2 linked regions of the Oreochromis niloticus genome follow. The protein of the gene in region 1 interacts with the protein of each later gene in a pairwise test. Links are inferred from orthologs where the notes say so. Each region holds a gene or a part of one and is shown on either strand. Other genes may lie near its edges. The genes, in order: epn2 and wbp2.

Region 1 (12,046 bases):
CATGGCTCCTCAGCCCATAAAACTGCCTGTCAGTCAATTGGCATCTTATTTTACACAACGCATTTCATTACAAGTAAACTTCATGTGCGTTACATAAACGATGTAAACATTAAAAACCTTTGTAAGTCTACAATGACTTCACAAAGAAATCAAATATAAGTCAATACATACACACAGTTATTAACTGCAGGCCTGCAAGAACAAAAAGGTTTTGTGTCTGTTTTTGAATGCAGACATAGATTTGATTGACCTCGGGTCAGCAGACAGCTTGGATCAGAGATCAGGAGAACAGTAACTGAAAGCACCCTTAGCACACTTAGATCTAATTCTGGGGACAGTTAAAAGATCTGAACCTTATAGCCTGAGACGTCTGATTGGGTTATACACAATGAGCAAGTCAGAGATGTATTGAGGGGCCAAGCCATTGATAGCTTTGTGAACTAGTAGGAGGATTTTAAAGGTAATTTTGTACTGAACTTGTAGACAGTGTCTGTGTACTTGTAAGGATCTTCACCGTCTTTTGTATTATGAAGTCCTCCTTCTGATGATTTGGATAACCCTTCAAATAGAGCATTACAGTAGTCTAACCTGCTTAATATGAATGTTCTAACTTTTAGTTTTTTTATGGTAGAAAGCAGTCCTGGTGACCTTATTGGTATGATTATCAGTTATCAATTGAGACCACTGTCCACGAGAGTTCTGAGATTCCTGCCTTGCTCTAGACCAGGGGTGTCGAACTCCAGGCCTCGAGGGCCGGTGTCCTGCAGGTTTTAGATCTCACCCTGGGTCAACACACCTGAATCAAATGATTAGTTCATTAACAGGCCTCTAGAGAACTTCATGACATGTTGAGGAGGTCATTAAGCCATTTAAATCATCTGTGTTGGATCAAGGACACATCTATAACATTCTACAAGCAGCCAATCAAACTCCCTCCCAAATGAGCCTCCACACTTCATGATCTGTAGATATTGTCTGGATGGACTTAGAAAGAAGAAGAGACAGAGAGTAAAACATAGAAGAGGAAATGCAAAGTAAAAATACAAACTGCTCTAACTACAATGAGATAAAACAACAGGGAAGTTGTAGCTGTTTCTTTAGCGTGACCTGTCCAGGAAATCCCCGGTCAGCTGCGTCACTTGACTGTGCCACCAGAAGGAGGAGTGCGGGATGTGAAGGCTAGATGTGAGGTGATGGAAGAATAGAAGAGGAAGAGAAAGAGAGGAAGTGGAACTGGCCGGCTGCTCTAAGGCCGAAGCAACAGCCTTGTTCTTAAGTCTTTTCCTTCCTGTGTGTGATGATGTCTTGTGGACTTGAAATGCTGGAAGTGAATTAAAAAACTTAAGGATCGATATAGTCTACAGCCAGACATTTTTTTTCCTATATTTTCATGTGTGGTACACGCCGCTGTGTTTCTGTGTACAGCTCTCTGGCCTCACTCATCACATAAACGTTGTGGGTGATCCTATTTTTTATTTTTTTTTGCATTTTTTTTTTCTGTTGGTTGAGTTTGTGCGTCCGTAGGTGGTTCTCTTCTTTGTCTCAGGCACTGTGCTGTTCACTGCTCTTTTCTTTTGTTTAGGCCCCTCAGCTGACACAATGACATCACTTCCTGTGTCCTTTTCCAGGAAAGCGTCGGATGTTTTAAACACCAAGTTAAAACTTACATAAACATCAGCTGCCCGTACACAATGATGTGTTTTCTGTTAACAGTGATGAATCCTTCATTCAGTGTGACTGATAGGCCATTTTTAACAGCCTTGCAGTACACTGTGTGTGTGTTACCCACAACACAGGCAGCACCTAGTATGCAAACCCAATGCTTTTCTGCTTGGGTGACATTTTCATCATTTTCATTTTCATCAACATTTTCATCCTGCCGGGGGCAGTAATGCAGGGGGGCTTGAAATGGGTGAACAGGTTTGCGTGTTTGAGTTAGCTGGCGGAAGTCAGTGTGCAATGGCGGAAAAAGCAGGTGGGCACAAAATCGCTCAACTTCCCCTGAAACAAATAAACAATGCCTCTCAGGATCTGTGCATTCTCAGGCCACATTTGTCTACAGCTCGTTCCTACCCTCAATTTTCTTTTGCACCTATATGCTTGTAATCCCCCACCACCGCCACCTCCCCCACCCACCCACCTCCAATAGCTGTCATTATATTGTACTGCATTGTCCCCACGATGCTTTTTAATCTATGTTCCTCTCTTAGCCCCCACCCCCACTCCCATTCTCTCACTTGCTTTTTTGCTCTACCTTGCTTCCTCTCTCACGCACTTACTGAACAACATGTGGCAGGAAGGGCATCTGAGCTCACCAAAAAAAAAAAAAAAAAGTTTTGTGAAGCCAATTAGAGAACTACCTCCTTCATTTGCTGCCCAGGATCAACATTACTCTACACTTTCTGTCACACATTTAATCTATGAGATGTTTTAATATAACAAAAAGAAGTGTAATTTCAGCAGCGGCTCTCCGTTTTTACATAAGGTGAAGAAATGCTGCTGTAGTTAAATCTGTGAGGATGACTCTTTGGGATTAAACTGTAAGAAATAAATATGTAAAATTACAGAAAAAGCTCATGCCATTCCCCAATATGGCATGTGAATATATATATATATATATAAAAGTTTTTGTTCATTTAGAAGAAAATGATCTTTTTTAACCTAGAAGTTTCTTTATTAGATAGTGAAAAAAAACAGGCACTTTTCTGTCATTTAATTGTTTAATTATCACTTAAATATGTTGGGGAGGTGTTCATCATCAGAACAAAGCTGCAAAACCTGTGAAAATACAGTGAAAAGTTCAAAATGTACACCCTCCTTCACATTTTCCGAAGCAGCCCAACAGGCCAGCTTTGACTATGCCTGGTTGTTCTGGCCCTCTGGCCTTATCTTTGACCCCTCTGTCTTAAAGGGTACATGTAACTAAAGTGGTTAGGTGTGTAAGAGTGAAAACATGATTCACCTCTGTCTGCAGGAGTGGTTTCACAAGGATATGTCTGTAGAAATGTGTGAACAGGTGGGTGAAAAGGTGCATTTTTCAGCCACACTGGTCAAGAAAATGTCAAACTGGTAAGAGGTCATGTATGGATTTGTATCTCTGCAACTGAGGAAGGCTGACTATATGGATTAAAAAGTTGCCTTTATAATGAAGGTTTTTTTGTTTTTTTTTACTAAAAAGAAAATAAGTCCGCTCTCACAGTAGAGGAGTTGATCAGGTGGGTTCTTTATGCTAAAAATGTGTAAATAACAACTGCTGGGGCTGTTTTTCTTCCACTTACCTTCCTTCTCCAGGTATAATCTACAAGAGCTCCTCACAAGCACTCGACCATTTGCATATGAAAAGATTTAGCTAATAAGCTGGCAGGAGTGGCAAAAATTATACACTATCCTGTTTCATGCTTTCTGCCCCCCCTTTCTGCCGATTTAGGCTCCGTCTGGAACCAAGTGCGCCACTTCAGGCCAAAAACTGACTCCTGCCAGTCTTTCCTCCTTTTCCTCCACGTTACATAAGTTTTGCAGGCTTCTCAAAGTGATGCACCAGTTATATTCATGCTTGAGCTTCCTTAGGTGAACCTTGTGTGTTTGCACATCCTGCTGAATAAAATTCAAATTAATATGACTCACATGCACCGCTTGCCTTTGTAACTGAGATTTACCGCATTGGGTGGCTGAATTTCTGGTGTGGGATAAACGCCGCTCGGTTATATAATACTGGTGTGAGATATGGTAAGCTGCTAACAACAAATGATCATCATGAGCTTCACCTGACTGACGTCTGTTGTTCATGTGTCACGCATGGTGGCATCTAGACTCAACGAATCATGTGTTAGTGACTGCAATACTCATTCTGCATGAGCAAAACTATGCTGGGTCAGTGCATCTGACCATGGATGGTGCAAGACAAGCTAATGGCCCAGAGAGTCTCTAATAGGGCATGAGTGTTGAGAATGAGGGTGATTATTTTGTGGAGGGTGATTTTGTGGGGGGTCACATATGGTAATTACATATTAAAGGTCACACATGTCTGCAGGGGGTTCTAGACAGCCCTCCCAAGTTTAGTGTGTGCTCACATTACAGACACGCTCTCTGTTTTAAAAGTGGGACGCTCCTGACCTCTACTGGCTGACACTGGACCTGCATGTACTTTAAAAGGGCACATACTCAACACATAGCCACTTCACTTTTTTGTTTGCACAGACTGACCAATCAGAATTTAGTTTAACTTTCAAAGTTTGGCTGATAAGAGGAGATAGTAAATGCCAAGGTGACATTTTCTTGTTGTTTGTTTGCAAAATAACTGCTTGAGGTAGCTTTCTCACCCAACCATGAATGTCACCTTCAAGCTTCTCTTTGATACCTGTTGCAGAAGAACAAAGGATTTGCCACAGTTGCCACAATTACATCTATTTTGCACAAAGCTGTTGCATCTTTGTGTTGGATTATGGAGAAATACAGCCATGGTTAAAATAAAATAAAGTACATCCTCTTTCAATTATGAGGTTTTAAAATAATATGATCTTAAACTTCAGTAAAAACAACCTCAGATAAACAACAACAAATGACATATTACACCGTGTCATTATTTATTTAACCAAAACTGAGCCAAAATGCAGAGGCAGTGTGCAAAAAACATGAACCCTTACTACATCTATAGGAATTCAGAGAGTAGCAGCCAGATGCTGCTAATCAAGTGCACTCCATTAACTGATCATCAGCAAGTGTGATCACGTCTATAACAAGCAGAAGTTTTGGCAGTTTGCTGGTCTGGTGCGCTCAGGTCTGTGTGTGGCCATCAGTCCTGAGAACAAAAGGCATCAGCTATGAGCTTGTTACTGCCCGCCAATCTGAGAAGAGTTAAGGCCATTTCCAAACAATTTGAAAGTCCATTCTACAGTAGCTGGGGTCGCCAGTCTGTGGCAGGGCTAACAAATCGAGACAGACAATCTTTCGCACTCACTTTCTGATCTATGGTTTGTTTAGAATCAGCAATTAACCTTACTCCATGTGTGAAGATGAACTATTTGGAGAGAACATTAAAGTCGGCACAAGAAGGTTTCAGACTAGAATTGAAGCCAGGACCTCCTAGTGAGGCGACAGTGCAAACCACCACGCCTCCGCGCTCCCCTCAAAGACAGCATAACAACACAAATGCCGCGTATCACCTGTCAGGGGTCATGATTTGGGCTCATTGTGCAGTTGCAGGACCTTGCAGTCATTAACTTGACCATGAACTCCTTGGTATACCAAAGTATTCCCAAGGACAACAGTAAACTGAAAATTGAAAACCTAAAACTGATCAATATGCTACAGTGGGACATTAAGAGAGCTGTGTATACACAAAAACCAACAACCTTCAATGAACTGTAGCAACATTGTAAAGAAGAGTGGACCAAAAGTCCTCCACAACAATGTGAATGACTGATAAAGTCACAAGGAAAACCATTTCTTCAAGTTATTGCTGCTAAAGGTGGTTCTACAAGCTACTGAATCATAGTAGCTTCTGCATTTTGGCTTAGTTTAGTTTATGACACAGTATAATATGTCATGAGGTTGTACTTTATGGATTTAAGACCTGATGAGGATTAGATCATGTATATTTTAGTAACACAAAGATATCATGTCCTCCTTTTGCCATGTACCAAACCTTCTTTGGTACACAATCCTCTTGTTAGCAGGCTCGCATCAGGAGGGGCTTTGCTTTATATAGTGGATGTTGGCAGTCTAGTAAGATGAATCATCAACTTGAAATACTCCTCTAAAAACACCAATATAGGTCTTCTTCTTAAAGGTCTTGAGTTAGTAAGTAGTGTGTAGTACAATTTGTTTTTCTCGCACTCTGACTTGCTCTGTTCTGTTCAGGCAATAGCTTTAGAGCAGGCCAATTACACAATTTAAAAAACCTGTTTGCACAAAGAGTCTATTCTCTTTTTATCACTCTCTCAAGCAGAGAGCAGCGAGTGCCAAAAACATCTCAATCAGCTTGGCTTGGGCTTCATTTAATTGGCTTATCCTTTCCACTGAATATGCAGCAGCAGGACACAAAAGCATCAGTGAACTTTAAAGGTGGCACTCCCAGCCAGATTTAGCACTTTACTAGAAAGCAGAGCTGGGTGGATCGATTCAAACATCGACAGTATCGATACCAATGCTGGTATCTGTATCGGATCGATACTAGCGTGATAGGATCAATACTTTGTTTCTATCCCCAAAGTTAACTATCTATCTGACTGAACTGTCTTATATTTAAGAACTGAAAAATAATCTCAAAGATGTACTATGAAAAAATGTCTTAAACTGTGTTGACTGTCACGTCTATTTTATTTATAGCCTAAAGCACATTTAATAACCGAAGTTCACACAAAGTGCTTTAGAGAGGTGCATTTACATTCTAGGTCCCCAAAAAACCCAGTGACAAAAAGCTAAAAGATTTTTTTGAGAAAAGTAAAAGAAAAAACTCACAGTAATTTGGTGTTCGTTAAAATGTGTTCAGAATTTGCAAATTGATGATGATTTTAAATGTCATGACACATGACACTCCCCTACATAAGCTGTCCTTATAAGTCAGGGCTCTAGAGTGCGACCAATTTTTCAGTGTTGCGAATAAAAAAAATATTTTCGGGTAACAAAAAAAAAAAAAAAACTCTGCAACTCTCCGTGTGGTCAACAACAGACACACATTATGCCCCTATCGTGGACTAAACCAATCAGAGATAGTCAGGGGCGGGACCTCTCTGATTGGCCGTGGTCCAGTTGAAAGTGCAGTTGGAAGAGAGAGGTGAGTAGCTTGAATAAAGCGATATCAATTCATTAACGGATTCCACACAAAGACATAAACACAGAGCGGACCCGACGCATCAGAATCAGCTTTGTCTTTCTCGGCTTTCTCACCCCACGGCCCGAACACGGACACGCTGTCGGAGCTTAGCGATTCTGATGCGTCGGTCCGCGCTGTGTTTCCGTCTTTTTTGCGCTAGATTCTGAGCTGCAGGTTTTGGCTACGTCCACACGTACATGGGTATTTTTGAAAACGGAGATTTTCCGTTTTCGTTTTAAAAAAATAATCCCGTCCACACGTAAACGCAGAAATGAAGGAAAACGCTGCTAGGAACATGCCAAAGCAACAGGTGGCGATATATTCCTAACCGTGTAGAAATGTTGGCCAATCAGAAGTCTAGAAGCCTCGGTAGGAAATAGTAAACAAAGATGGGGGATAGAAGCACAACCGAGTCCTATGTGTGGAGGGACAGTAACTGTGTGTGTATATGTAAGCATTTAAACACTGCAGAGAGTAAAATTAACAGTAACAGTATTGTAGAAATTCATTTCACCGAAACAATAACGTGGCGCACAGTGTGACGTCAAAAAAGGCGCACACCTTTGACGCTGCGTTTTCTCCGTTTTCCTTGTCCACACGTAAATGCAAAAACAGAGTTTTCGAAAATATCCACCCTGGCAGGCGTTTTTAAAAATCTCCGTTTTCAGTCACCGAAAAAGCCGTTTACGTGTGGACGAAAGGTGCAAACGCATAGAAAAATCTGCGTTTTCAAAAAGTTTTCTGCATTATTTATTCGCTAAAAGATTTTTTTTTTTTACCCACCAGTCTACCGTTGTTTACAGCGCTGTCGGCCGCTGTCTTTTTCTTTTCTTTTTCTTTTTTTCACTTAAATGACCTCGGACAAGAAAGCCTAATTTCTGCTGTTCAATACTGAAGAAATTTAAACTTCTTAAAATTATGTAAAATTGCAGAATATTTTTAAGGTTATCTGCTATAAAACGCCAGACCAGGAAAATCTCCTTCATGTTTTTCTGTGTTTTATTCTCAGTTACTTTGACACAAAGGCATCTGCTGTGATGTTCACAATTCTGATGAAGTCTCACATGTATCAGTACTGATAAATTATCAGAATTATAATATTTCTGACTGTCTGAGGCTAAATTGAATCGAATCAGGACTTTGAGAACCGGAATCGAATGGATTATAGAAATCAGTGATGATTCCCAGCCCTAGTGAGCAGCCTAGGCCTGACAGAAGTGGATGTAGCTGTGGGTAATAAGAAAAGATGAAAAGAACTATTGATAACTTTTGTGTTAAGTTAAGGACTGATCCATCTGAAATTCATAGCCAGCTCTGACACGGTGCCATCAATCTTTGAATGCTGAAAAAACAGCAGTGTATCCAGAAAACACATTATACGCTGCAATAAATGCACTGCCCAAGTGTCCCCTCTCCCCACTGCCTTGCAGCAGCAGGCAGCAGCAAACAGGTGTCAGAGGAGCCAAGATGATGATTAAGTTTAACATTTTCTACAATATTGACAAAGCAATTTAAGCACAAGTTTGTCAGTTAATAATTTAGAAATGAATATTGTCTGTATGGACTTCCCCCCCAAAGAAAGTGCACGTGTAAAACTGCGGTGTTAAGCGATGTGGTTGAAAAATTTGAGTGCGCCTAACTTTTGTGCCAGTACGCCTAAATTTTTAAAGTTAGGCGTACTGGTGCGCCCATGTCAAAAAGTTAGTCTAGAGCCCTGCTTATAAGTTGAAAATACCGATAATGGTATCGGGAATGCTGGCCCTGTATTTATTTGTTATCGATCATAACAAAATTTGCAGTATGGCACAGCACTAAAAACAGCCAACTGACATCACATCGGTCATACTGACGTTTGGCTGCTGTCAGCGTTGCAGATTCGTGACATTTTGATCCCTGTCTATTTTTAACTTGCACGCTTTGCATCTACAACCTATACACTTCTATTAATAGCTCACTGCGCACTTTTTAGTAAGGCATCTGCGCCTATTCATAGATGTTGTGCCACGTGTGTCTGGGGCGTGTGACGTGTTGTCCCCCTCCCTCTATTTAAATACCTGTGAAAGAAAATGCGGTTGCGTAGTGACGGTGGGGTGGAAAAAATTAGAGCGATGGAATGCGGTCCTACAAAGTTTGCGCTTTGTAATGACACACCTGCAGTGACAAATCATGACATGCACGTACTTGTGCAATCTACATGTCCGTTTATTTCCTTTTGGCTGCTAACTTTCTTTGACGAAATTGGAAAATGGCTCTTCAAAACTAGATTTACCAGAGAGGACTGTTCGGTTACTAAAACAAAAAAGCTATTCCATAAAAAAAACAAAGTAGTCCAGCACTTTAATATAACCATTCTTGTGGTCACGCATGTCTGCATGTTGTAAATCGTTCATGTGAAAACTTGAAAATTATAATTATCACTTTACAGTCACTTGCTCAGCGACGCACCTTTCCCCCCCGTGGGTTTTCACGAGGGATGAAGGGTCTGTCTCTATCCCTACCAAGTCAAGCCGACATGGTCACACCCTTCCCGGCCAACCCCTACAGCCCACCTCCTGCTCTGCCCGCCATGTTCTGTAGGAGGAGGAGATACGTGTAGTCCTGGCTTTAGCTGGCTTAGCACTAGCAGCATATAGCTAGGCGGAGGCGCAACAAGCTCCTTGAACGCCCAAATAAGTACTCCTGTCTCGGTTTCCCCCTTCTCTTTTTGGAATTAGCTACGTTTGTTTATTGGTTTGACCTCCACTTGGAGTGACACGAGTACCTAAAGTATCCCTCTCAAAAATTCTGGTAAGTTACCTTTGGTTTTCAACACAGTCGCGTTGTTTTGTTTTTCTGGGGTGTCCTGTAATCCAGTTTGCTATGGTGATGTCTCCACTGAGCTCCCGTCTTGGCTGCTAGCTTGAAGGATCGCTAACTAGCTTTACATGCTAGTTGACTGTCCTAACATAGAAAGTACTTTATGAGGCTAACGCGAACGATTGTGCGTTACAGTATAGGATTGGTCGTAAAACCGGTAAATAGTAAACTGTGTTACATCTAGATGGTGAGCGATCAACAGTTGTGTTGTTAGTAGGGTGCTGGAGGGGATGGTGTGTGAACTGGCTGTCCTAACACAAGCTCTGCTAGCTTTGATTCAACTTTTCCCAAAGCCAGGATTTGAAATCGTCTTGTAAATTGGACGCTAGGCGGTGGTTGGTATCTCGGGTGCAAATATCTATAAGTGGAAAAAGTGATCGCTGCAGTGTATTTTTACGCTACAGCAAACTTTTCCGGGTTATGTACTTTTCCAGTGAGCTGAAATGTGTAGTCACCGCTAACTCAATCAATGCTAAGAACTAGAACTTGCCGCAAGTTTGCACTCAACTAGCTGTAGTTAGCGGCAAACCCCTTAGTAGCAAGTGTGGTCGCTATTCTGTGTTAGAGTAAGCTTGCACTGTTTTATACACATACTTATTTCACCTCTATCACCTGGATTTTTGACTGAAAGGATTATAAATAACATTAAGGTAGTTTACTAGCACCAAACGAATGTTAGCTAAAGCTACTTTAGCTTATGTGCTAACTATCAATCACGTCAGTTCAAGGAGACGCCGTGATTTAAAAAAAGAAAAGAAAAAAAGGAGCCAATTAAATTATTTTTATTTTCTCTACCGAAACACGTGTGCTGTTATAGAGGCGAGGGCTAGACAAGAGCATACTACAGTGACTCAGCAGTCCAAAACTTAACGTACTTATTGATATTTTTATCAAAAAAATATCGTTACGACGTGGGCGCTGTCTGTTTACTCTCTTCGTTTCCGACAAGCAGCGAGTAAAGTGTTTGGTTTTTAGATCATTAATACTGGCAGGGTTTTCTTTTCTATTTTCAACATACAACAAAGATGTTTGAGTAAAACCTCTCTTTTCATAGTTGCACTGAACCCGTATTTATGTGGCCTGAGAAGAGGGGCAGCGCTTCCTTTAATGTCAGGATGGTCAGTCAGTTACGGGGGTGACAGATGCATCATCACGGTCCTCCTCCCGTCCCTGTCTTGGCTGGCTTTGTCTCTCTCGGCTAGCAAGAGAGGACAAAAGGTGGGGTGATGCGTCGATCAGATGGTGGTCTCTCCTCCCGTCTCACTGTCTCACAGTGCACGGTTGTAATAGCTCACTTAAACCCACTTTAGTACTGTTTGAACAAGTGTTAGTGCTTATTTGACGCGAGTTTGGCTTTTGGGAGCTTAATCCTTGGGTCTAGGAGAAGATGAGGATTAATTACTTGTGAATGTTGCTCCTGGTTGTACCAGACTGTAAAGGGGTGGTTAAGGAACTGGCTGGATGCCATTACACAGCCTATTATACACCATGTCATTCTGAACAGACAAATATAGTCTTGTCACATTCACACACAGGCGCCCGGTTGTGCAAGCCTACTATCTCGAGATCAGCTTTACTCATTCTGTGTGACAAGGTGGACCTGTTCTCAATGCGCTGCTTCTGAGCCCTTAATGCTAATCACAGTTTACCTAGCTTTTGCCAAAACACACACAAGATAAGTTGAACTTGTTATGATCTAAGGTGACTCACTTAAGTCAAGTGTTCTACGTTTTTCTTTGGAATATATTCATTCATATATTTTTTTAGGACATGAAAAACCCATTCCAAACCTTCACCAGGCAATATGAACAGGTTTGGCTGAAAAACATGAATCATTCTTTGATCTAATGATTGGGGTGATTCTGTAAAACAAGGGTTGATTTGGAAAACTTTTTAGCCTGTTGCAGTTAAATCCTGTACATGTGGTTTGAGAAGATACCTTGGTGGGTTCTCTCTTGATGCACAATGACATTCAGATTCTGTGAAATCAGGTGATGTGAATAGAGCTGAAAAATTAAGTTTGAATCAAGCGGGACTGCCCTGTAGATTGTGGATTCTTCTTCAGGTGAAAGTGAGAATCAGAAATGAAGGACAAGTGTATTGATGCTGTTTGAGGGCTACAGTGCCTTTTTGCTTCTGTGTCACTTTTATGTAGAGAAGGGGGGGGGACGCTTGGAGAAAAGTGAGTGAAAATGTAGGACTTAATGGTAAGTTAGGAAATTATATTTCTGTAACTTGATTCCAACTGTCAGCTATACACATCTATATCCTATTGCCGGTCAGGAGTGAATCATTATGGGTTTCCTCATGCAAGCAACATGAGGCAGAACTTCTCATTGCGTTTGATATGAACCGTAATGAAGAGGACATCATTAT
Region 2 (12,038 bases), on another chromosome or scaffold:
ATCTGTGAAGTCTAGCCAATTGTCTAGCTGAAATCGACATCGATATAGAATCTGTGGCTAAAAAAGAAACTCATTAAAAGGAGTCTCAATCATCATATCACTGAAAAGTGATAACCCCCTGTCTGTACGGGAAAGGCAAAAACTCACCACTGATGTCTTTTCCCAGAATTCCCTTGGCTTCCTTGACAGTGGCCATCAGACAATATACTGGGGGCTGGACGGATAAGAGGGTTAGATAATAAAGCAACTTATTGCAGCATTAAACATACTGATGATGTAATTTCTGCCACAGTAAAGGTGGTGGAAAATAGAATTCTTATGACTACTATTAATAGATGTTGGTGGTCTTCAGCATTGCATTTATTGGAACAAGTATGCAGACTTCCTTTTCTCACCTCTGTGCTCTGTACTTTCTCCAGCAGACTGTCGTGCTCTGATTCTGTCATAGTGAAAGCCTGGTAGATAGGATGGATTGAACAATCATCTAGCTGCACACCAACGCAGTTGGAAAGTTATGAGTGCTGTTATACACGCGTTTACGTTTTTACCTCTCGGATGTACCGTCGAAGCTGGTCATCTGTGAAAACCTCATTTGAAGACGGTTTACCCATTTTGTGTGCGATGGTGTACAGTAGCTCCTTATACAGAGGCTTGAGCTTTTAACAGACATAATCACATTGAGAACGTTGTTGGAAAATGCCATTTTATATGCTGAACATAGTCATATACTGGAAGTGATTATACCTCCATCTCCTTGTGTCTCCTTGCTTTCTCTTCTGGATTTTCATCTTCTTTAAAATCCTAAAGGAGACACAGGAAAACTATGTTTCCATGATTCTGTTTGATAAATATGGAAATCATGCATAATTTTAACCTAAAATTTAGGCATTTAAAACACATGCAGGGTGACTTACCCTCCCTCTCAATTTCCTTGTCAACCCCAGTTTACGTGCATGCACAGGTGAAAACTGGAAAGGGAAGAAAGAAGGGAAAACGTCAAAAAGCAGACATGAAAGGAACATTTTAAAACTATATCAGTGATATGTGATTACAATGGATCACAGTGAGTTTCAAGTTTGTGAACGTATATTAACTACGTTCTAAAATGTCATCATTTCTGTACAGTGAAAAATATAGATTCAACTTGAAGGACTTGCCATGAAATTATGCACACATATAAAATTCATTCATTATCCTCATAAGATGCAACTTACTCTATATTACTTTAGAATCAACATATCAAAGCTTCCAAATTTCAATTTTTTAGCCACATGTAGATATCTTAGTTCTTAGTAACCTAGGTAGATACATTTGTATCTACATAACTAGTTACCACAAAAATTCGGCATATTTTGCCATTCATTGTTCTTATAGGACGTGTTCTGGTTTGTCTGTAACTTGATTTTTCCTTTAGCAATACCTCCAGGTTGAATTCTGAAACACAGTTCTCAACACCTGTTGGAAAGATTTAGGTTAAATTTTATACAGACATTTGTTGTGTACAGAGGATGACACCGATTGTGCCACCACAGTGTCAAAGCTTTAACCTATTTAGTAAAATAATCCAACATCTATTTCACAGACTTATACAATATTATCCATGTTTTGACGTCCATTGTTCAAAGAGGATATGTCCTAGTAACTTTGGGGAATCCCTGTTCATGAGGGGACTTTCCTGTACCAAAGCCAGTGAGCTGTTTATGAACAAACATATCAATAACTGATAACAAGACCTCCTGGCTTTAACATATTCAGTAAAATAATCCAATATCTACTTGTCACACTGGCAGCTCTTTGAGTACATTCCCTATAAAAATTCCTGAAATTTTGTACATTTTGACATTGTCCATATAGAACGTTTGCTAATGACTTTGAGGACTTTTGAAGGGGCTGTTTTGACAAAGACTGGAAGGATTGAAATGGAATTCTGCACAGATGTTCATGCTCCTCAAAAGATGAATTTTACAGATTTATTCTCTAGTGTCACCATAACGTAATTTAGCAAATTCTCCCAATATCTACAGGACAAACTTGCACAAGATCTGCAGATGTTAAGTGAAAAATGCATATTCTTCACGTTGCCTGCACGGGTTCTCTCTGGGTACTCTAGCTTCCTCCACCAGTCCAGACATATGTGAGTTAGTTTCCCTTTGCCAAATCTAGTTTGTAAGCCTGCAATAAACTGGCAACCTGTCCCTGACTTTTCCTTGTTGGAGTTGGGATATGCTCCAACTCCTCCCGCATTGGATAAGCAGAAGGAAATGGATGGATGAATATTCTTAAAGGATTTATCGTAATGATTCTTGGGGGATATCTGACTCTTTCTCAACCAGTGCAACCAAGCTGATCTGTAATGAAATTTCTTGACCGCTATTGGAGGGATTAACTTAGAATTTTGCACAACAGTTTTTGTCACAAGAGGAAGAAATCTCCTCTAGTAAAATAACTTGGGTACATTTTGTACCAAGTATAGCATGATGACTTTAGTAATGGGATTATTTTTCCTCTTGGAACAACAGGAGCAGCTAAGGTTCGAGAAAGCGAGAGAGACATCTCAATAGCAGCTCAACGAGTGATTGTTCTTTTTGCCGATCAATAAATCTTACATCACATGACTTCTAAAAACAGTGATCACGTATAACAGAAAGGTAAATTGTGTAGTTGCAGTCTATACTTAATGTAGTCTAAGCACTTTCAGAAAGGAACTACATAAATGTCAGTCCATTCCATTATTTAGCCTTGAGTGGTAATTAGCAATGAACCTGCTAACCATTACACATCTAACTATCTATAAATATGACAATGTGAACATGCTGAGAACAGTGATACAGAGTCATTAGGCTCTGGTCTTTCAGTTTGGCTGGTTTGGTTTAGCTAAATTTACCCCCCAACACACACACACACACACACACACACACACACACACTGGTTTAGTTCATTACGGTTTGTGTGTTTTACCTGTTTGAGTCTTGGTAAGCCATGGTCCTGGAAAAAACAAGGGAAAGGTGCTTATGTTGGACATTTAAATGGACGGAAAGAAAGCAACTACTTCAGTTGAATCAAACTGAAACTAACAGGAATTTAAATGTGATCTCAAGTCACTGCAGCCTTCGCTACAAGTTCTTCCTGTGCAAAAAATACATCAATGCTGGTCTGAAGAAATGCGAGTGCTTCTTTAAAGTTTCTGATAAGGCCTGCCTATGCAAGAGACTTCCTCTGTCGCTGATAATGAAACTGACTTGGAAGCAAAAGCAAACCAACAATCCAGGAAATTCACTTGAAAGGGAATCATTATAAACATAGTCTAAAAATAATTATGCAAATACACATGTACCCATCCTCAACAAACGCACACGCACACCAGTACAGCATTTTCACTATGTACGAATGTAGCAAACCCTTCAAAAGTAAATGATTGCAAAACAGTGTGAAGAAATAGCGTCTTTTGTGAAAAATATGTTTCATTCTTCATGATCTGATGTTTTTTTCCCCCGAAAATAATAATGAATCATAGTCACAGCATCTCGAAATAGCCATTTGGAGACAGTGACTCAACTTCAGATGCAACAGCACTGTTGTAGCTGCCATTTTATGTTTTTTTTCTTTTAATTTTCATATAATTAGCCTAAAATGCAAAAAAGCTTTGCTAGTATAACAAGCTACTGAAAACCAAACCCGAGGAAAATCTTTTAAACCCAGAGCAGAAATATTTGAAGGGATCATCAGTTTGCTTGTTACCCGATCACCGTGTAACATAAGTAGTTAATAACTCACGGAGAATCAAATTTAAATAAATATTGTGGAGTCTACAGTCGTGCCAACATATTGAAATGCACTGTAGTCCTTACCTGTTCAGGTGTTTGCAGTAGATTGTCTCCTTTGTTCGTGGGCTCACTTTGACTTGACATATTGATGCGAATCTAAGATCATCAGACTCCTGCCTCGTGAGCTGCTGAGTCTAGTGTGCGTGATATAGGGAAGCTGAGTGCTTTGGTGTGTTTCGATGAACTGTCACACAGCAGCCGGAAGTCATCACTTCCTGTAGAAGGTGGTAACGTCAATGACTGTGACTGATGACTTTTTCTTCATCTAGTGCCCCACATTTTGTTTGAATACAAAATACTGGTCTCACTCCCTGTTACCTTTGCATATACAAACATCAACACACATACAGCGTTTTACATTTCGGGACATTATGCTTTGTTATAAATCAAGCTTTAAAGGTTACATTCACTGATGACATATAAAATTGTATGTCCTGGGAGCAAATTTTCCATAACTTGACACATGATGAATTAAATAATGAAACTGCGTGTAACATGAGACAGTGCAGCCTGTCTGTGGAGTGTGGTTAGTTTTACCTGTGTTTATTTAGAATGTTGACTTACTCCATTATATTACTCCACTATGAGTTAATATACGCTGCCCAAAATTTTTTACAGCTGACTAAACCTGTGATATTATTCTCTTGTTTTGCTTCTTGCTAGTGTCCTTGTCACTACTTGTAGCGTAAGACTGTATCTGCAGGCTATTTTGGTTGCACAGGTAATCTAGTTTCTCCAGGAGGGCACATTTAATGCAGTCTGAAGAATGTTGAGGAGGTACCAGAAAATTAAATAGGGAGAGCTGGACACTGTCTGGCCTACATATTTCTGATCACCTCTCTGCATCGAATCATATCTGTTATTAATCTCTGTCTCTCTTCCACAGCATGTCTTTATCCTGTTTTCCTTCTCTCACCCCAACCGGTCGCAGCAGATGGCCCCGCCCCTCCCTGAGCCTGGTTCTGCCGGAGGTTTCTTCCTGTTAAAAGGGAGTTTTTCCTTCCCACTGTCGCCAAAGTGCTTGCTCATAGGGGGTCATATGATTGTTGGGTTTTTCTCTGTATGTATTATTGTGCGATCTACTGTACAATATAAAGCGCCTTGAGGCGACTTCTGTTGTGATTTGGCACTATATAAATAAAATTGAATTGAATTGAATCAGACTCCATGAGTATGGGGCAAGGTCCTGACATCATTTAGTGGGCTCTGTGGTCACAGGCTAGCATTTACAGCTCTAATAGGATTTGCCTAAGAAATACAGAGTGGTGCCTGTCCAGACATGTCTATATAGCACACAATGCTAGACTGGCTAATGAGCTATTGTGGTGTTTTTTTTAATTGAGAGAAGTTCAGGAGACACTATTTGCAGTATTTTATTATCAGGCAGTTAAAGATTTGGCTTGCATAGCTGTGGACCTCTATTGGGGCACTCTGCACATGGAGAAGTGAAGCACAATTCCTAATTCAAAGTATATACTTAGAATTAGGAATAGCCAATCACAATTTTTGTGACTGGCTATTGATGGGTAAATGCCATGGTTTAGACTCAACATACCCTGATTTGTTCTTCTCGTGGTCCTTCTGGATGGCAACGGTCATTGACCTCCACTCAGGGATCTTGTCCTGTCACAATAAAGTCTCCATGTCTTGTCGACTAGAACCCCCTGTTATCAGACACCCAAAGCCAAGCAGCCCATCCTGTCTGAAACTGTGTTGTGTAAAGGTGAAGCAATTTATTTTCAACACTCAACTCTTTCCATGCCTCTTAGTTAACCCTTCACACCTTGGGGTTAGTAAAGCTTGTATACTTCTAATGAAGAGTGTATCAACTCTATTATGAGCATACAATTGCAACTAATGTTAAAAAGAAACCTTATTTGTAACACTATCAATCACAAAGACATCACATTCTATACAAAACCATATCTCAGTCTTTACTTTAAGGTACCCTTTCTTAAACTGTTTCAGTAATTGCTTTCACTGTATTACATATACTCTATTTTCAGCTGGCTACATCGTTTTTAAATTAGCTAGATTAAAAAGGCTAGTTTAGCTTATAGCTAATTAGCTACATTTTGCATTCTACACACTGGTTAAGGTGACAGTATATCAAGTTTTACAGTGCATCTGATGACTTTTTTCAATGAAATCTCAAAATCTTTGGTTTATAAAATGTTCAATCAAATAAAATTAATAAGGCATTTTGATTTTATTAGACTAATAATATGCAAACAATATATAAATTTATTAGCATGTGTGCAGCAAAAAACACAGCTAATGAATATTTGGGAATTTTAATTGAAAGTTACTTGAAGTAAAAAATTAGTTATGTTAATGTTGAGGTGGTTGAGTTCTTATAATTGTAAAGAATTCTTAATCAATCATTTTAGATTAAATTTCAAGCATCAGCCAGGTGTTTCCACACAGCTTCATGTGTAGGCATTGAGATTTTACCTGTATGGTAGCACTGAAGTTATATGAGCTTAGATCCAGGTATGAGATGTTCCATGATCGCATCCTAGAGCTTCATATGATAGCAGTAAACTTTGACAGTAAGGGTAGTTACATCACCTCCAGTGTATTAGCACATTGGAGTGAAAAGTGACATTTAACCCATCTGTTCTATTTAACAGCTTTGCGTAATCTATTATCTGTTCTTTGTTTTCCTGGCTCATATAATAGGTTTGTGCATGGAATTTAGAGAACGATACAAAGAGAGGGTCAGACATAGATGTCAACTATTGTTAGCCAACACACACCATGGATTTGCCACTTGTTGCATCTTTTACAAGGATGTGGGTGCTTCTGACTAACCTGACCACTCACCTTTTCCTGACTCATTCTGTTACATAATGTAAGAGGCATTTCAATACTTGGATATATAAATCATCTTGCCATATTTGTACTACAAATAGAATTTTGGACTTACTTCTGTTTGTCAATGCCTTTGACTCACTTGAAATAAATTATCTGTCCCTTAAACAGGTAAGGCTGGCCCTGCCCTGAAGGTACTAATAGCAATTAAGTAAGAATACATTTCTATTTAGGATAATAGGTACATCAGCCAGACTCATCATGTAAAGAAATCTTTCTTTCTTTTTTAATTAACGAATTAATGAATTATCATTATTATTATTATTTTTTTTACATCTAACTGTACTACTAACTATAGAGGCGTAGACACATTAAAAGTCTTACGTATATTATGATTTTCTGGCATTATTACTATTATTAGAAGCTATATTGCAATTGGTAGAACCTTGTAGAACTTTCTCCTGTTATATCAGCTCGTGTCGCTCATTCAAACGTCATTCAGTCATAGACATTTGATAGTAAATTTATTAAAGAAATATTTAATATCGAACTGAATGTTTTGAAAAGCCGACTTTTTAAAGGGGCGTGACGTCACGCCGTGGGCGTTTCACACGTATGGCGGAAGGGCAGGTGCGGTAACCTCAGCAGGCTCTGTATCACAACAACCGTTATCCGCGCGGAGGGAAGACACCGAGGATCCAGAGAGGCCTTTGGATACGTTTTCCTGACTGAATAAAACAGTATCTCATTTTTTGCATACAATCTGGAGGGCCGTCGACATGACTCTGAACCAGAATCACTCGGAGTCCGGTGGTGTCATCATCAACAACAGTGAAAGGTAACGTTAGTTAGCAGCTGTTAGCTAGGCGTTACAGTTAACCAGCCACAGATAAGTTATACCCGCTCTTTGGGACGAGCGTCACACCAGACTCATTCAAAAATAATGTGGCTCTGACGTTTCATGGAGATAGTTTACATATCAGCTGCACTGCAAATACAACATTATTATTCGGTTAATACACACAGACACACCTGCCACACAGTAAACGCTGCACTGAAATTCTAACTTTTAGCATTTGGTAGCTTATTTTTTTTAAACAAACATATGTATAAAAGCCTTTGCCGAACACCGTGAAATAATCGTTTTGCTTTCATTTTTGACTACAGTATCTTTTTTTTTTACAAAGAGCCTTTTATATCATATAGTCCGAATTGAAGAGCTGCTCCTAATCAATGCAAGGCGATACAAAATAAACCTCTGAGTGCTTCACGACTAGCATGGCTATATTAATTATTTCAACGTCATATTTTCTAATCTAATATTCGCGTCGCATCTTACAGAACCCGGTCTCGGACTCTTAGCCGAAATATGGCCCTTCAGCCTGTTATATCATCACCGCAGACTAGGATTACATAAATGTTTAGTGGTTTTTAAATGTTATAATAAGTCTAATTTATCGAGGATAAAACGTTATTTCTCCTCATTGCAGGAATAGCTGAGCATATATTGCAGTGCAATAGCTGCATAGCCTTCAGTCTGCACTCTGGCCTGGCCTCTGTGCTAAAATATTTGTTTTGTTTATTAGCACGAGTCAAAATAATGGCCAGATTTTTCTAGAACATGCTGCAGTGTAATGATAAACCCATTAGAGCTAACCCGGAACCTGTAGTAAGCTCTGTCACTAGATGGCATGTTAATCCTCTGCCTATACTACTTTGTACTAAAGGCAATGGACAGTTGCACAATAACCCAGTGATCTAATTTTAAGCTTTTAAGATGAAAGTAGGTCACATGCTCATACAAACATTGCTGATTTTTTTTTGATGCACACAAAAAATGTTGAAAAGTTCACAAAATTCTGGTTCCTACAATCAGCTGGTTCTAGTGTCTCCTTTCTGTTTTTGGATCTAGTGTGCTGATGAATCATGACAATGTGGAGCTTGTTTTTTGTGACACGGAAAGGCTGCCCGAAGCCTTCAGAAAGAGCAAGAAGGGCAGCATCTACCTGACTCCATACAGGGTGAGTGACAACACCACCAAGTCTTCCTCTTTGTTTAGACGAAGCCTTGTGCTGCCATAATGATGCCACAATTCGCATCAAGTACTAGCAGAGCAGAAGAGCAGAACTCTATCATTCTAATTACTAAGCTTTAAGATTAGTTTGGGAGAAGCTGAGATGATGCTGTTTCTTCTTTTAATCCCAGGTGATCTTCCTGGCTAAAGGGCGGGATGCACTGCAGTCTTTTATGATGCCTTTCTACCTGATGAAGGGCTGTGAGATCAAACAGCCTGTCCTGGGAGCCAATTACATCAAGGGCACAGTCAATGCAGAGCCTGGAGGTAGGTGTACCTTTTCCTCGTTATGCTGTAATAGATCATGCAGCATCTTGTGTCTCTAAGCCCTCTCTTGAATATCTCTTGGAGGTGGCTGGGAGGGCAGTGCTACTTTCAAGCTCATCTTTGCTGCTGGAGGAGCCATAGAGTTTGGCCAGTACATGTTGCAGGTTGCAGCTCAGGGTATGTTAACAAAGCAGAACACATGAAATACTACAGTTCCTGATATTTTATGGACTTATTAATCGATTTACTGCCTCACATTTTCAGCATCCAGAGGTCAGCCTGTAACCGCTGGCTTTGGTGGATGCCCCTACATGGCTAATGGGGCCTACGCTTACCCACCTCCCCCTGCTAATGGAATGTACCCAGCAGGACCTCCGCCCGGCTACTCCTACCCTAACCCTCCTCCTCCAGGTAGTTTTCAGAATTGTCCTCAGCTTAGCTCCACATCTCGTGAAAGTGAAAACTAAACTGCAACTCTCTGTTCTCGGACTCCAGATGGATTCTACGCCACTCCTCCAGCGTTTGATGCCTCTGCAGCATACATACCTCCACCTCCTTATTCTGCTCCTCTGGGTCAGCAGCCACCACATGATCCAGACCTCCCCTCCTCAGCAGCAGGTGAAAATCTCCAGTAGAGAAGCTCTGACTTCAGCTACAGCCTAAATAAAAACACCATGCTAACAGAAAAAAGGGAGGCTGAATTTCTGCACGTGTTCGTTAGTCTATTTTATACTTTACCATTTCTATATCATGTTGGAACAGATCTGCTTACACAGGTCTTGTTAGAAAAGAATAGAATACCTTTGTCATTTCATAAATGTGCAAACATTATACAGACCCAGTATAATGTTAATGAAATGTCTTTTGTTACATTTTTGCTTTTCCTGCCACACCAAGTCAAATATCTGCTGTGGAAAACATTTTTGTCTTTAGGATATTTTTTTTAGTGGTATATAGATTGTTTTTAAAAATATCCTCCTTTATTGAATTATTACAGGTAAACTTTAAATTGAAAACTAAGAAAAGTAATTTGTTTTGAAAGTGTGGATAGTTTTTTTCCCCTCAAGATATTTGAAGCGATGCATACAGTACATTATTGGAAGTACTTAGTGTTGCAGTGGGAACTGCAACATGTTGCCTGCTTTCTAACAATGAATGCACTGCACTGATATCACATGAGCTTAATTCAGCCTCACAGAGACTTTGTACTAAGGAATTTAAGGTTAAAGATAAGCTAATGTCAGATCTCCAAAATATTTAAAACACTTCCCGCTGGAAAAATGCTATCTGCAAGTCAGGGAGATTCTAAACTGCCGTTCTTTTCTCTCTCAAATGCACCGACCATCGTACCTGCAGCTCGTTTAGCACCTCTCATCTCATATGTCCCAGGGGTTATTAGTAAGACCCATGTTTAATTAATGACCCCCTCCTTTGTCTCACTCGCTTTCCCAGCGGAGGCCAAAGCCGCTGAAGCAGCAGCGAGTGCCAGCTGTGCCACGCTGCCCCCTACACATGTGTACCTGCCGCAGGTGAGCTGCCCTTCATGTTTCTGCTATACAAGTTTTTTTTTTAAATGACAGTGTAAATCTTGTCAATGATTTTCTTACAGTGGCTGTGAGACAGTCTGTTTGAATTTCCATTTCTCATTGAATTGAGCTGTGTTTCCTTTCCATTTGTCATCTGTTTGTTTGTAGTCATTGCTAGTATTGCTGTACTAACAGTGACTGCAGATCCAAAATAAACTCATTTGGTGTGTAATTTGAAAAGTGAGGGCCTTTTTGCATACAGAGGAGAGTATTTTAGCACAGTGTATTTGCATGATATTTAAACGTATTGGTAAATTTAAGCTGGGGCATCGAGTCAGATTAATTTTCCAAGTGTAGAAAAAAAATCATGGTGAGAGTATTGTCTGCATCTCACTTATATCACTGTTTTTTTTTTTTTCATAGAGCCACACTAGCATTTTTTTGTTTTTGGGTTGGAAATTTGTGATTTCCTTTACAACCATTTCTAAGGTTTACAGAGAAAGAAGCAAAAAAGAGAAAAGGTCCAGTGAGCAGTTCTGTGGGTGAAAATGTCTTGTTTTGGGATGTGGTGGAATGTGAGATTCATATCATTAATGTGCAGACAGCAGATCTCCAGCAACTGTGTGATGCTACAGTCCTGATCAAAGTTTAAGACGCTTAAAAAATCATATTTTGCATGATTGGATCTTAACAAGGTTCCAAGTAGAGCTTCAACATGCAACAAGAAGGGCATCTACTGTCTGGACAACAGCTTCAGACAGGAGATGCCCTCCGTGCAGCCGTCTTCACCACTTTGGAGAAATGTGTAATTTGTTTCAGTGCTACGGTTAATGTAAAACACTGAAATGTAGCGATGTAGTTGACAGATATCAGCCTATTGGCAGTTAAAATGGCATTTAATGATGAATAACCAATATGTTATCACATCAATTTTTTTTCAGTGTGAAAGAAATCAGGTCAGATATTTTGCATAGGTAACATTTCGTGTTGTCCCCTGACACAAAAACAGAGCAATGAATGACAACAAATCCATAATAACAGCAAAATAATCAGCACAGGCATTGGCCATCAGCCATTAACATCAGAAACATCCCTACCTGCATCAGTCTGCAGAAGGTCAGCCAGTGTTTATTTATTTTCTCTCTACTTTGCTGTGACACAGTCACTGATGCTAGCAGCTATGCAGTAACAGCATCGGTGGATGACATGGTTAAGGTGTTACAGCAAGTGAAAGTCACTGATAAAACCACATTTTATGGGGTTAAAAGCCAGTTGTTTACCACAGCTTCAGTCTGTGTATGTCAGTAATCCAAGACCACTGTGTGTTCCTACTCTCCTGCTTACATGGCACCAACTTTCACATGCTCAAAACATCGTCATCTGGCATTGTTTTATTATACTCAATTGTATATAGCATTTGTATTCTATTTTATTCGATTGCATATAGTATTTTATTTTATTTTATTCTATTGTGTACAGTATCTTATTGATATCTTATACCAGTGTTTTTCTCTAATTTTTTTATGCAACTTT

Evidence for each region.
Region 2: the proteins of epn2 (region 1) and wbp2 interact in binary tests that used the Homo sapiens proteins (3 or more experiments, as listed by UniProt). The link is inferred for Oreochromis niloticus from reciprocal best matches to the Homo sapiens genes EPN2 and WBP2.

Annotation. Positions count from the first base shown.
Region 1 is NC_031969.2:13,198,896-13,210,941, reverse strand, and holds the start of epn2 (epsin-2), read left to right. Parts: upstream 1-6,719; 5' UTR 6,720-6,775; intron 6,776-7,214; exon of another isoform or gene 7,215-7,252; intron 7,253-9,367; exon of another isoform or gene 9,368-9,601; intron 9,602-12,046. UniProt on the Homo sapiens protein: Plays a role in the formation of clathrin-coated invaginations and endocytosis.
Region 2 is NC_031973.2:25,101,646-25,113,683, reverse strand, and holds the start of wbp2 (WW domain-binding protein 2), read left to right. Parts: upstream 1-7,232; 5' UTR 7,233-7,417; coding exon 7,418-7,476; intron 7,477-8,550; coding exon 8,551-8,659; intron 8,660-8,843; coding exon 8,844-8,979; intron 8,980-9,063; coding exon 9,064-9,156; intron 9,157-9,243; coding exon 9,244-9,390; intron 9,391-9,474; coding exon 9,475-9,597; intron 9,598-10,431; coding exon 10,432-10,508; intron 10,509-12,038. Other genes in the region: unc13d (protein unc-13 homolog D), read right to left, coding at 148-214, 396-455, 549-656, 745-801, 915-968, 2,959-2,985, 3,849-3,908. UniProt on the Homo sapiens protein: Acts as a transcriptional coactivator of estrogen and progesterone receptors (ESR1 and PGR) upon hormone activation. In presence of estrogen, binds to ESR1-responsive promoters. Synergizes with YAP1 to enhance PGR activity.